2 linked regions of the Drosophila melanogaster genome follow. The protein of the gene in region 1 interacts with the protein of each later gene in a biochemical or structural test. Each region holds a gene or a part of one and is shown on either strand. Other genes may lie near its edges.

Region 1 (6,655 bases):
TTCAAGATGCATTGCTGGGACCAAATGAGATACGGCGTTGAGTTTTAAGGATTTTGAAAATACGTAGGGGGATTTGGAAAACAACGATCATTGCCATTTAAAACAAAGAAGGAAGCTAGCTTCTGAGTTTTACCTTATAAACTCGGATTTCTTTTCTAATATTTTTAAATATGCCATCCATATAGTCGTCGGATATTCATTAGATGCACAATAAGCAAATTGATATCTACATTGTCATGCAACTTGTGTATACCGAAAAAGAACACTCTATGATCAGACAACAACATATATGAAAGAGTATACTGATTCGGTCATCATACTTTACCAGCATAAAGAAGACTTTTGGCATAGTTTTATGCGGATAGATTTTGAGCGTTGCAACTAATTACAACTAACTAATTACAACTAATAACTAATTACACATAAGGTTTTGGCAGAGGCAAGCAAAAGTCACTTTTCTGTTTCAAAAAATGTATGCAATATTCAAATTCTTCTCGTTTTTCAACCAAATTTACCCCAATATATTTACATCTAATTCCACGACCCCTGTTCATCTTATAATCCATTTTTGCCACCCCGCATCAGGATTTCACGCAATTCTTATCTTAACACATTCACTTGGGCATATTTCAGTAGCACCCCGAATGCATTCACACATGAAAATCCCATAAAAATTGACAATAATAAGCCACATATCATCATTTCACTCTCCACACATATGCACAGACGTATGTGCGTTCCACTCGATAAGAAGTCAGCAAGGCCTGGAAATCAACCAGAAATCGAAGGCTACCCTTACGAAACCGAATCCGAAAGCCGAATGAAGAAGAAAATCCCATAAAAAACAGTTCAATGATATAGAAAAATTGATAAAGCTAAATTTGCAAAAATAACAACAAAGGCACTCGGAAAGGAGAGCGACTGGGGAAATGGCAAATGGAAAACGCGTGGCAGCGAATCAACTTTAAAATAATCCGCACAAGGCACTTGAGAATCCAAAAAAAAAAAAAAAGGAAGTCGAAGGGCACTGGAATCCTCGTGGTGTTGTCAAGTGAATAATGGGACAAATCCGCAGTGTAAATATGACACGTTGCAAAATGGCATTCGATGATAAAATAAAAAGGAATCTCACGGTTCAGGACCACACTCGAAAAAAAGGCCAGGAGACTGTATATTGTGTGTACATATGTACATATATGTGAACAAAAAGCTGATATGAAATATTTTCCTTATCTAAAATGCGCCTTAAAAATCAAGCTACATCTACATATTAATAGAAATTCCATTTAGCTCACTAGTATTTATATTTCATTGCTCTTTATGTTATATATACATTTTTATAATATACTTTATACCTTATATATAAAAAAAATTTTTTTTTTTGCTTTATACACTCATTTTTCATTTTTTTATTTTTTATTTAATACATATATATTTTTTTATAAAAGTAGCAAAAAGAAAGTTATTTTTGCAAGTGAGCACACTCATAAACGCCCCACATCTGCAAGATTGAAGTCACTGACAGACGCACATCCTTCGGGAAAGGTGTTTTGACAGGGCGTCAGGCAAGTCAGAAGTGCAGACACAACAACAGGAGCAATGGCAACAAGGGGTTAATATTTATGCCGCACCCTCACCGTAGCGTATCAATAAAAAGATCGCTCCGCTGGGCATTCAAATTGTTTGTTTGATAAGCCAGTGTGGCGAAGTACGAGCACTGAAACGAATTCTAACTTAGTGATAAACCTAGAAATAATAATATTAAGCTAGATTCATCTTTAAATTTAATATTAAACTTATTGCGCAGATATTGTAATAAAGTAATGTGGTGGTTTCTTTTTTATGTGTCTAATATTTATGTTTTATTAGATATTATTTTTTTCAGTGCTGTAAGTTTATCTGGGGCCAGACTCTCTTTTACCGAAGTTAATACAAATATTACGCCTTTTTATGCTGAAAGCAAAAAGTGCAGGCCAAATGTGGCATAAACTTTACTTTTGGAAAAAAGGGTTGGCCACACCCACCGGTTTTGTAGCCGCCCGAGAAGTTATGACATTGTGTCATTGAATCTTTATGTGTGCATTCGATATGCATTAAAATTCAATAATCATAAAAATAACACGCAAAATAAAGGGAAAATCCAGTCCCCCCGACTGAACAGCTCCCTCCAATTAACCCTTGAATGGCAGAAAAGGAAATTGTCTGACTCTGTGTCTTTCTGTGCCAATATGAACGTCACATAAATCTTGGCAACACTACTACTAAGTCGCTATTAAGTAAAATTGACCACATATTTTATCTCATATGCGCACGCAACGAACGTAGACGAAAATGGCGAGGGTCAGGGGTCATTCGAATGTTGGCTGGTGGGTGGGGAGGGCAGTGGGAGAACAAGCTGGAGAGCCAGAACAATGTGCGAGTAAATTAAGCCAAAGCTTCCAGAAAACACAAATCAAACAAAACGTTGGGAAAGGAAACAATTAAAATGGGGAATTAACAAGGTAAATACAATTAAGGATAGTAGGCTGAAATGAAAGAGAGAAAATGTTATATTATATAAAATCATTTAACCAATAAATTGTTTTATATATGTACCTTTGTTTTTTCAATATTCTTAATATTGTTGCCTGTTGCTTACTAAAAATAATGCAGTTAACTTTTACAGTGAGAGAAATAAATAGATAATTTAATCTACCTTAGAGATAAAGAAAGCAGTACATTGGGGTAGTAGAAGTAGAACTTTGTCATTCTACGTCAAAAGTATCATCACTGAAATTTGCAAGTTTTTTGCATTGGTTTTAATGAATGTGTTAAGAAATCAACCTTGAAATAGCCGCCAAATCACACAGTGTTGTCAATAAGCTCATTTTTAACTTATCTGGCAGCTCTGAAGGATTTTTAGAACCAGTCTAAAATACCGAAATATATCGATAGTGGCAATAAACTTCTCGGACCATTTTCCTTTCGTTATTTGTACGTATATATAATTAGAATTACAAATAAAATCACGCCTTTGTTTTTGTAAAAGTATATAAGATTTGGCTTATTTCACATTATCAGCAGTATCCGCATTTGCCGGCTTCTACATCGATAGTCACAAAGTATTGAAACGCCTATCGAACTATCGAGAGTACGCCGCACTCGCAGTGACGTGTACTCTTTTTTTTTAGCAAAATATAAGCCGCATCTCTACACATAGTTTAGTTTAAAAGAGCCTATCGACAAGACGCGTTGATTAAGAATTTGTTGAGATAAACTCGCAAGAGATAGACACGTAAGCGGTTTCGCAAACTCAAAAAAGAAAGATGAGGCAACTGGGTAAGTTTCCGGCCCATGCACGAAATAGACAAATTATGTTAATAATACATTTTCAATACGCCCCCGCAGCGAGCATTTTGTTGCTGGCATTTGTCGTGGGCAGCGTTAGTGCCTTCTATTCGCCCAGCGATGGCGTTGTGGAGCTGACGCCCTCGAATTTCGACCGGGAGGTGCTGAAAGACGACGCCATCTGGGTCGTGGAGTTCTATGCTCCATGGTGCGGCCATTGTCAGAGCCTGGTGCCCGAGTACAAGAAGCTGGCCAAGGCATTGAAGGGAGTCGTGAAAGTGGGCTCCGTGAATGCCGATGCGGACAGCACGCTGAGTGGCCAGTTCGGTGTACGTGGCTTTCCCACCATCAAGATCTTTGGCGCCAACAAGAAGTCGCCCACGGACTACAATGGTCAGCGAACCGCTAAGGCCATCGCTGAAGCCGCTCTGGCGGAGGTCAAGAAGAAGGTGCAGGGTGTCCTGGGCGGCGGCGGTGGATCGTCTTCCGGCGGTTCCGGCAGCTCGTCCGGCGATGATGTCATCGAACTCACCGAGGACAACTTTGACAAACTGGTCCTGAACTCCGACGACATATGGCTGGTGGAATTCTTCGCCCCCTGGTGTGGTCACTGCAAGAACCTGGCACCCGAATGGGCCAAGGCCGCCAAAGAATTGAAGGGCAAGGTTAAGTTGGGCGCCCTGGATGCCACCGCGCATCAGAGCAAGGCCGCCGAATACAATGTGCGTGGGTATCCTACCATTAAGTTCTTCCCTGCGGGCTCCAAGCGAGCCAGTGATGCCCAGGAGTATGATGGCGGACGCACTGCCTCGGATATTGTATCCTGGGCCAGTGACAAGCATGTGGCCAATGTGCCAGCACCCGAACTCATCGAGATTATCAATGAATCGACTTTTGAAACTGCCTGCGAAGGAAAGCCATTGTGCGTCGTGTCCGTTCTGCCACACATTCTCGACTGCGATGCCAAGTGCCGCAACAAGTTCCTCGACACATTGCGCACCCTGGGCGAGAAGTTCAAGCAGAAGCAATGGGGCTGGGCCTGGGCAGAAGGTGGCCAGCAGTTGGCCCTGGAAGAGTCGCTCGAAGTGGGCGGATTCGGCTATCCGGCCATGGCTGTGGTCAACTTCAAGAAGATGAAATTCTCCGTGCTCAAGGGCTCCTTCTCCAAGGACGGCATCAACGAGTTCCTGCGCGACATCTCCTACGGACGTGGCCACACGGCGCCTGTTCGCGGAGCCAAAAAGCCGGCGATTGTGTCCGTGGATCCTTGGGACGGCAAAGATGGCCAACTGCCCACCGAGGAGGACATCGATCTGAGCGACATCGATCTGGATAAGGACGAGCTGTAAGGCTGTGAGGATCGGAAATCAAGACTGTGCGGCCCAAGCTCAAATTTCCACTTATTAAACTAACAAACACTTGCATTCTGAATGATATTCATTAGTCAGCCATCGTATCTAAATATAAATAACTCTTAATTATCTTTTAGCGTTTTTCTACAATCCTCACATAGATCTAAACGAATCGAAACCAACGATCATATAAACTATGTACCACAAAATGAATAAACTGTGCAACAAAACGTGTAAATTCTGGGCAAGTGTTAATCGGGTTCGGAAAAGCGCGTTTCGTGCTTAGCGAGTTTAAAAAAATGCATAAGTTGAATTTTATACAAAGAAAAGAATTCTTAATATCCGTAAAATTCAGTTTACATTTTCTTCCTTATGGAAATGAGTTTGGCTTATGAATAGATCATTCTTCAGTTATTTCTTTGAAATGAATCATCAAATATGCTTGTTTTCTTCAAAAACTCAATAGCACCATCACATCCAAGAATCAACAAGTGATATACATATTAGTTTTTTATGTATTCCAACGTAGCGCTGTATAAATATAAAGTTATTGTAAATCAATGAATTTAATATAGAATACAGAAGAATTAGTTCATTACCACCCCAAATTCCAATAAAATGTGTGAGAATTTTACCGTTGGGTGAGGTAAAACCATTTATTTTATGTAAAACTCACATAAAAATGTCCAAAAAGATTTGTATATAAACTTTGATAGACTTAATGCTATATAACGTCTAAAAACGTTTTTTTTGACACAATATATAGAAGGATACTCATGCTGGTCTAAATGCACAAACTGAAGATTTCTTAAATGTATTCGTGGCGGCAGATTGGCGCTTAAACTATGATTGGCATGGTACAATTATTAAGTACTTGGTTTCGATTTAAGTACAACCTGTGTATATAAAGGGACGGGAATCGGCGTTTTAAAATGTAGTGCAAAATTCGAGGCATCACGAAGAGTTCGTCTGTTAGTACGATTCGGATTCTTAATGCAAATTGGGTTGCGTGAAGACGGTATAAAAAAGATCGCTAAATTCCCTTGGATTTCGAAAGAAACAACCAGGCAACGTGACTCAATTGCCACAATTTGGCTCTGTCCCACAAAAAAAATGAACAGAGAACAAAGCGGTGAGTAAACGGCTAAAACTACCTGCATTAAAAGAAATAAAAAAAGGCCAAAGATGCAGGAGGGACAAGGAAAAAGGGCCAGAGGACAGGCCAAACTTGTTGAGCCCGGGATTAAGAGAAACAACAGATAAAGAAACAGTCGGGGATGCGTAGGAAACCCAATTTACAATTATGAATGATTAATTCCCTTTCCAGCGAACTCCTCAACTGGTTATTGCTATGTGTAGTACTGCTTTGTTACGAAATTCGGTCAAAATATGGGAAAATTCTTTCAGAGCATTTCGGAACTTCGAATATGTTAAAAAAGTAATTACTTTCCAGTAATGCGAAGGGTATATAGAGATAAAATTCGAGATATTTCTTTTTAAAACTTAGGACCTAAATCTGTAGTCATACTAATGGGTTTTCGTTTCTGGCTGGCATTTAAGTCTTTTTCGCGTTACTAAATTGAAGTACTACTAAACCACTATCCTCCAGGTGTCCACACCCCGAATCAGGCCAACGTATGATGGTGTTTCTGGTCGGGATAGTTCTCTATGGATTGAATGGAGCGCGATGTGGCGGCAGTAATGGTTGAAGATACGTCCATAAACCGATATTTCTTGTCATCGCGACAGAGTAAGGGGTAGCAAATGATGCCGTAGTAGAAGACGAGGCAGAGAACGATTACGGTGAAGATGATGGCGATGATGCCGAATGTGGAGATTCCGGGTCGACTATCCAGATACTCCTTGGCCGTCTGCGGGGGCTGGGTGGTGGTGGGCGGTTCCGTGGCCTTGTAACCCCTTCGATTGTTCCGCGCTGCACTCGCACTGAAAACCAAGCAGCTGGCGCCTGCAATAAC
Region 2 (7,439 bases), on another chromosome or scaffold:
CAGGAGGAGATTCTAATTTGGCACTACCACACACCCAAGGTGGGCACTTTCAGTCATCAACCTGGTTACCAATTGACTAACCCCCATTGATCTCCCTTCAGAGTGCCTCCACCCTGCACAATGTGAAGGCGCGCAAGGAGAAGCGGTTCCATATCGACGACACGCCCACGGGAGTGGAAATGGCCAAGGACCTGATGCTGAGCAGTAGCAGTGGCGATGGTCACTCCACGCAGCGGGGAATCAGTGATCCCATCTGTGCGCTGGCACTCTCCGAGAAGCTGCTCCTTGTCGCCAGGGAATCCGGCGCTATCAACGAGTACAGCATAGCAAACGTGGCTCTGAGGAACCGCCACCTGATGAACGCCAAGGTCTACAAGATGGCTATCAACTGCAATTCCACGTGGGTAGTCCACCACACTCCCTTGATACTAGTAATATTTATACTCCTTACTTAGACGAGCCGCCATTATCGACCATATGGGCGTGATGACCCTGCTCGACCTGGACGACAACAGGGAGACCCAACTGAACTTCAGTCGGGTGGAGCGCAAGGACGTTTGGGCCGTGAGCTGGGCCACGGATAACCCACTGCTGCTGGCTCTGATGGAGAAAACGCGCATGTATATCTTCCGGGGCAATGATCCCGAGGAGCCCGTGTCCTGCTCCGGCTACATATGCACCTTCGAGGACTTGGAGATCACCAGTGTCCTGCTGGACGACATAATCAGCGTGGGTGAGCTGCAGAATTTTTCGCATATCATTCAGCTGAGGGTAAAGTCCCTGCGCGATACCGACGATCTACTGGAGCACGTGGGACTGGAGGATGCCAAGCAGTTCATTGAGGACAACCCGCATCCGAGGCTCTGGCGACTGCTGGCGGAGTCTGCGTTGAAGAAACTGGAACTGGAGACGGCGGAGAACGCCTTTGTCCGTTGTGCCCACTACCCGGGCATTAAGTTGGTCAAGAGACTGCGCACCATACACTCCAAGGAGCTGCAGAGGGCGGAGATATCAGCCTTCTACGGAGAGTTCGAGGAGGCGGAGAAGCTCTACCTGGACGCGGATCGTCGCGATCTGGCCATAGAGCTGCGCATGACCCTTTGCGATTGGTTTCGCGTGGTGCAGCTGTACAGAATGGGAGGATCGGGAGTGTCGGACCAGCAGATGGAGATCGCTTGGCGGGAGATTGGCCACCACTTCGCCAACCTGCGCTCCTGGGAGAGTGCCAGGGAATACTACGAGAAGTCCCACTACCTGGAGGGTTACATGGAGGCTCTGTACCACTTGGAGCAGTTCGACGACTTGGAAAAGTGCGTGGAACGGCTACCGGAGAAGAGCCCGCTGCTTCCGAAGCTGGCCGAGATGCTGGCCTCCGTGGGCATGTGCTCCGAGGCTGTTCAAGCCCATCTTCGATTCGGCGACCAGAAGGCCGCCGTCGCCACCTGCGTTAATCTCCGGCAGTGGGGCGAGGCTGTTGAGCTGGCCCAGAGGTTCCAGCTGCCCCAGGTGCAAACGCTCATAGCCAAGCACGCGGCACAGTTGCTCCAGGAGGGACGCCTCAAGGAAGCCATCGAGATGCAGCGGAATGCTGGGCGTCATCTAGATGCAGCTCGCCTGCTTTCTCAAATGGCGGAACGGGAGCAAGAGAAGCGTGCTCCGCTGCTGAGAATCAAGAAGCTGTACGTGCTGGCTGCTCTGCTGGCCGAGGAGCACCTCAAGGCTGTGGCCACGACGGAGATCGACTACGCCAGCGGCAGGAACACCCTACTGGACTCCATTGCCCTGGAGGATGCGGCCGCCATCGAGAGGCTTTGGCACTGCGCCGAGGCCTACCACTTCATGCTCCTAGCCCAGAGGCAGCTTCGCTTCGGGATCGTCCACAGTGCGGTGGTCACTGCGGTGAGGCTGCGCGACTACGAGGACGTCCTGCCTCCAGAGCACATCTACAGCCTGTTGGCACTGGCCAGCTGTGCGGATCGGGCCTTCGGAACCTGCTCCAAGGCTTTCATGAAGTTGGAGCAACAGGCTCATCTTCCCGAGGCTACCCTTCAACGGTACGAGGAGTTGGCGGCTGGGATCTTCGCCAAGTACGATCCGGAGGACACCACTGGCGATAGGGTGGATTGCTATTCCTGCGGAGTGCCCGTGCCAGATAGGTAAGTGAAGGGTCGACGTCAGAAGCTGGATTATAATGATGATACTCATGGAATGCCGATCCTTTCAGCTCCCCCTCCTGCCCCGAGTGCAATGCTCGCTTCCCGGCGTGCATCTCCTCCGGGAAACCCATCACCCAGCCGACGAACAACATATGGATCTGTACCACCTGCCACCACTGCGCAGCTCCCACCGAGATCTCCAGGCACCGAACTTGCCCACTGTGCCACAGTTTGATCGTGTCCATGACGGTGGAGATCTGAAATGAGCGGGGACTAGTGTTTTAATTACTCCAGCTGTTTTTCATTCTGCTTATCCCAGGTGGTACAGGCGTATCTACTCCGCAAATAAACAATGTAGTTTTAAGATAGAATTCAAATTTATTTTCAAGTGAAAAGTGTTATAAGTGGAAAGAGTGACTGTTCACAGTGAGTATTTCCTGGGGAGTGCGCTAGGGCCACACTACTAGCTCATCCAACACTCGCAAAGCGGTCACACTGGCGAGTGCAGCTAAGTAAGTCGGTTGTCCGTTTCTTGCTGAATTTTAAATAAGTTAAATAAATTTCTGCTTCGTGCGGTGGTGTGCGTACGCAAATATAAAATAAAGTAAATAGTAATTGCGGTGCTTGCGAAAACCAAACGAGCTCCAATTGACCGACGAAAATACTTAAGTGCATTAAAGAATTGCGTTGTTGTGCGTCGCGCCCGTTTGTCCTTATTGTTGTCGTTAGTGGAGTGCACGAAAAGTAATTGTTTTTATTTAAAGAGGTTGCATTTTAATTGCTAAATCAGCTCAGTTGCGAGTAGAGTGCCAAAATAGAGAGTAGCGACAACGAAAACAAGTTTTTGTGGATGGTGAGAAAGTAAAAACAATAGCAAATTTATATATATAGCTATATATATATGTGGTAAGGTGCTGTAAGCATTTAAAAATACAAATCCTCTCGAGGTTTTAATGGCCAAAGTTTCGTAAACGTGTAAATTGAGTGGAATTCGATTGCGAGTGCATTCTTGGTTTGTTTTGAGTGAGAACCGAAAACCAGTTTACACCGTGCTTCTTGCCAAGGTGAGTTTTAACCCCAATCGTGGCAGTTTAACGTTAATTTTAGTCATTGTTATGTTGTTAAAAATAAGTTTTCTTCTGTTAAATGTGCAATTTCGCCTGGTTAGCTTTGTCAGCTCTCTTTCCCTTCCACCTTTCTTCTTTCCCAACGAGCGGTTTGTTTATGACCGCAGTAGTGCACTTGTGTGCGTGTCAATTAGCGCTTTTATCGGGCGCACACCAAGAACAGTTAAACCTGTTCTGGTTTCTCTTTCGCACAATTTAATGGCCTTTCTTTGGCTTTAGTTTTGCGCTTTCGTCGACTTCTTCTTCTTTGTATCTCATGCATGTATCTTTATATCTGTCATTCGGGGAATTGGCAGCAAATCGGCAAACTTCTCTTTCATCGACCCCCTGCGACCAGCACCTCGCTCCCTGGAAACCCGCATCTTGTGGATTCTTTCCAGTTTCCAGATTGCTGCTGAAGCTTCCAGCTGTCACAGCCGCAACAACAACAACGCCAACGGATCAAATGAAAACCCAGCCAGCATAAACTCACACACATCGAAATTGCCTAACTAACGCACACATTAAAATACAGTCGATGCATCGTCACGAAAATAAATAACAATAATAGCCGTTTATAATTTAGATCAAGTCGCAAAAAATTTTTTTGCGTTTAATTCTTTATGAGTACTGATTAAGGTATCAGTTCAGCGATATTTCATATTACTTCTGAATATGGGGGTGCACACAAATTAAGATATATGTAGAAACCGTTCTTATTTTTTATAGAATTCATTAAATAAGTATGGAATAAACTGCGATCATATTTCCCATACAAAGCATTTTTATTTTTCACACAGTTTCCTTAACCAAGCGATTTTAAGCTTAACCTTATATTTCTGACACTGGCAATGGAACTTGATTTTTATTATCATACGTGATTTAATGAACAATGACGCCTGCTTAGGACACGAGCTTCGAAATGCAATGCACAGCGAAAAGTCCCACAAGCCATTGCAAAATTAAAAACTGAAATGGCACTCAGAGGTGCACTCTCCCCACCCTCGGTATCATATCATATCATACCATGCCGTACATGTCACAATGTCTGTTTAGGTTCCTTTATGGAGCCGGGCTTTGTCGTCGCCATGATTACTCAGCTTTATTGATAATGCTGGGTGGAGGAGTGGCAGGGAGTGGCTGGGATGAAACCTCCTGGGATTTCTTGTCCAATGTGGCGGTGGTTAGAGAGCAACCCATGAGTCGGGATGTTAGTTTTCCCCTTATGATTACGACATTCTCTGTTCTCTATCTTTTCGCTTTGGGTTTGCATTATCCAACATTTTTCTTTGCTTTCTCCGTATTGTTGCAAGTGCATTTCGCTTTTGCTGATGATTATGCTTAATTCTTGTTCGTCTGTCTGCATTGCAATGTGTGGGTGCCTTTCCACTAGAATAATATACACATGTTTTCTTGGTTTTCAGCTGAAATCGGTTCTCTTCGCTGAATCAATCGAGAAAGCTTCTAGCTCTATCCAAATTCGGGCTAGAAATCCGAGCTTCGCCCGCTAATTGGCCAATACAAACTGAGGTGTTGAGTGTTTGGCTCACTTGTGAAATGAATACGAAACAGCTGAAATCACTGTTTCTCACTGATACTTCATAATGGCAGCTAACATCCATCCCAAAATAATAACGTTTGAGAACCCTTTGCCTCTTTGCTTTAATTAAACTGTTCACTGAAAGTTTTGATTGGCCTAGCATTTACGTAGTTCACAAATGTAAGACCCTAGACCTCGTGCAAACTGATATTCTTTCAATAATTTCATTTCCTGGGCCAGAACAACTTGTTTTTATACCAAATCTATTTCTTGCCATTGAAATCGTTTATTATTCTTAATAATCGTTTTTGCCAAATGTGCTTTGTCGCCTCGCCAAGGCGTTAAATTGCCCACTGAACGCCAAACATATGCGTTGCGGTTATTGGAGATGTGTATTGTGGATTCAGTAAACTCGACTTTGATTTCGCTATCCAAAGTACAGCTCAAGTGAGGGCTCCTCCTTTGTAGAATAATTCTGTTTATATAAAGCGGGAAGCGACAATCTTTGTTTAGCCTTTATCAAGTGCGCAGTACTTGAAGTTGGGGGAATAGCTGGCTCATTTTCCCCCTATGCTTAAGATTATAGTAATCCAAGTCAAATCCAGATGTTTACATATGCACTGTGCTGAATCAATTGAAAATACATCACAAAATATATACACACAACTTGAAGAATATAAGACCTACTCTTAGCTCTGATGGAGGTTTAATTGGAACGAAAATAGGCAATGCTTATACTTTATAAAATACATATCATTCTAATTGAATGAAATAGACGAATGCCATTGAGTTTTTTTAACAACAAAGCTTTCTCCTTAGTCCGAAAGTATTTCGCAGATTTTCTTTGGTTTGTTTTTGTTTTGTTTTTTTCTTTCGAAAGCTTTCATCGAAAATCAGGAAATTAGTCATATATAAGTACCTACATATGTATACATTATAGACAGATTGCCAGCGGAAACGGACTCGCAACTTACTTCTAATCAATCTTCTATTACCTTTGCTAACATTTTATGGTTCTCCCTCAACTTTTCGTTGACCCCTTCCGATTAAGAACCACTATCAGTGTGCCTCATCGTGTTGTTTCTGCTTGTCCAATACTGGGCGCAGATAAGGGCGAGGTATGATAAATATGAGGTGTGCCAAAAGTACACACATATTGGGAAAGGTCTGAAATACAAACCTGCGAATTGAGCGGTAGATTGACCCGAAGTTCGAGCCTTAGCCAGACTTTTGTGAATGAAATCCGAGTGACTCAGCATTGGAACAGATGCTGGGTATGCGGTATCGATGAATGGTGCATGGATTCGATACTCGATAAAACAAACTGTGCCGAACACGTTTTCCATTGAAAAATCTCGCACACTCGCCTATTATACATACAACTAACAGATCCGTATAGTTTATAGACTATAGTCTAGCATTGTTTAACCTAAGGTGACTCATCCACGACATATTCATTTAGCTCATTAAAACACCAATCAGGCATGTAAACAAATAAGTAAATTGCAAATGTAAGCTCGTTGTCTCGTGCAAGTTCGCATTTTAATATGATCTACATATGCGGAAGGGAAGATTGAGTGGCAAAATGAAACTTAATGGCAATGGGTTAGAGTAACACCCTAGTTTATGGTTAATATTTTTGATTCCAAAGGTTTATACTTTGTTTGAAAAACGTGGACTCTGCTAATCGTTAAAATGAAAGATTTAGCATTCAAATTGCAAATTAAATTAGACCGGATTGTTTGGTTCACACGATTTCGTTGTCCATCGTAAATTTGTATGATGTTACGGGATGATTTGGTATTATTCTATTAGTCTTTGTCCATGACCGGATTACGCACCTTCCGTTCCGTGGATCTGCTTATATATAGAGAGACTGAATTAGTCACCTACAACAGAACAAATATCAGTGAACCTCATCGCTGTTGTAATGGATGAGAATGACTGCGGCGGTCTTATCATCCACCCTTATCACTTGTAAAATCTTGAGCAAAGTCGAGGGGTATGCCAAATGGTTATCTCTTTCTACTTTAGGTTATATTGCCCCAGTTGTATATTATCGTTTCGGCTATCTTAAGGATTGTAATATGTATCTAAGAGGGCGAACACATTCACGATCTGCTCTAAAACGTGAACGTTCTATTAACACTGGGTTTCGAACAATTTCTCGTTTAAAATTTATTTGGCGCCGTTGGCAGTTCATCACGCGATTTCTTGCTAATGACGGCCTTGACAAACACCACTTTCTGATGAGTTAAGGGAGCACCTGCCGTGCGATTAAGTGAATCAGATTTCTCGCTGGCAAGAAATGAAACCAACAATTATCTTTGCAATATAAATATAGATTGTGGATCACGACAATCCCCCAGTTAATTGTACGTACTTTCCAACTGACCAGACATGGCTGGCCCGTGCTTCATGTCAGTTCCAAATAACCAAGTACTGAAAGAAACAGCTCTCTTTTGTTCGCGATTGTCATATATATTATACCTAATGTTTGGTATTAAAAGTGGATCTTTATTTCCTGAAAAACCGTGCTGGCATCAATTGCAAATGGTTCGGCCTGGATAATTTTACAGATAGCGATCCACGTTTATGCAATCCATTCTTGATGGGTCACTGGTAATTGTAAACCAC

What was found.
Region 2: the proteins of CaBP1 (region 1) and drpr form a complex in vitro, tested with the Drosophila melanogaster proteins (one study listed by BioGRID).

The regions. Positions count from the first base shown.
Region 1 is NT_033779.5:16,353,203-16,359,857, reverse strand, and holds CaBP1 (calcium-binding protein 1), read left to right. Parts: upstream 1-3,122; 5' UTR 3,123-3,305; coding exon 3,306-3,318; intron 3,319-3,387; coding exon 3,388-4,676; 3' UTR 4,677-4,972; downstream 4,973-6,655. Other genes in the region: CG4455 (uncharacterized protein), read right to left, coding at 6,305-6,645. UniProt on the Drosophila melanogaster protein: Binds to both apoptotic cells and phagocytes and promotes Drpr-dependent phagocytosis of apoptotic cells.
Region 2 is NT_037436.4:1,726,306-1,733,744, reverse strand, and holds the start of drpr (draper), read left to right. Parts: upstream 1-2,637; 5' UTR 2,638-3,220; intron 3,221-7,439. Other genes in the region: Oseg4 (outer segment 4), read left to right, coding at 1-39, 102-400, 456-2,156, 2,225-2,417. UniProt on the Drosophila melanogaster protein: Receptor which is involved in the phagocytosis of a variety of cells including apoptotic cells, severed and pruned axons, degenerating dendrites, salivary gland cells, germline cells and bacteria.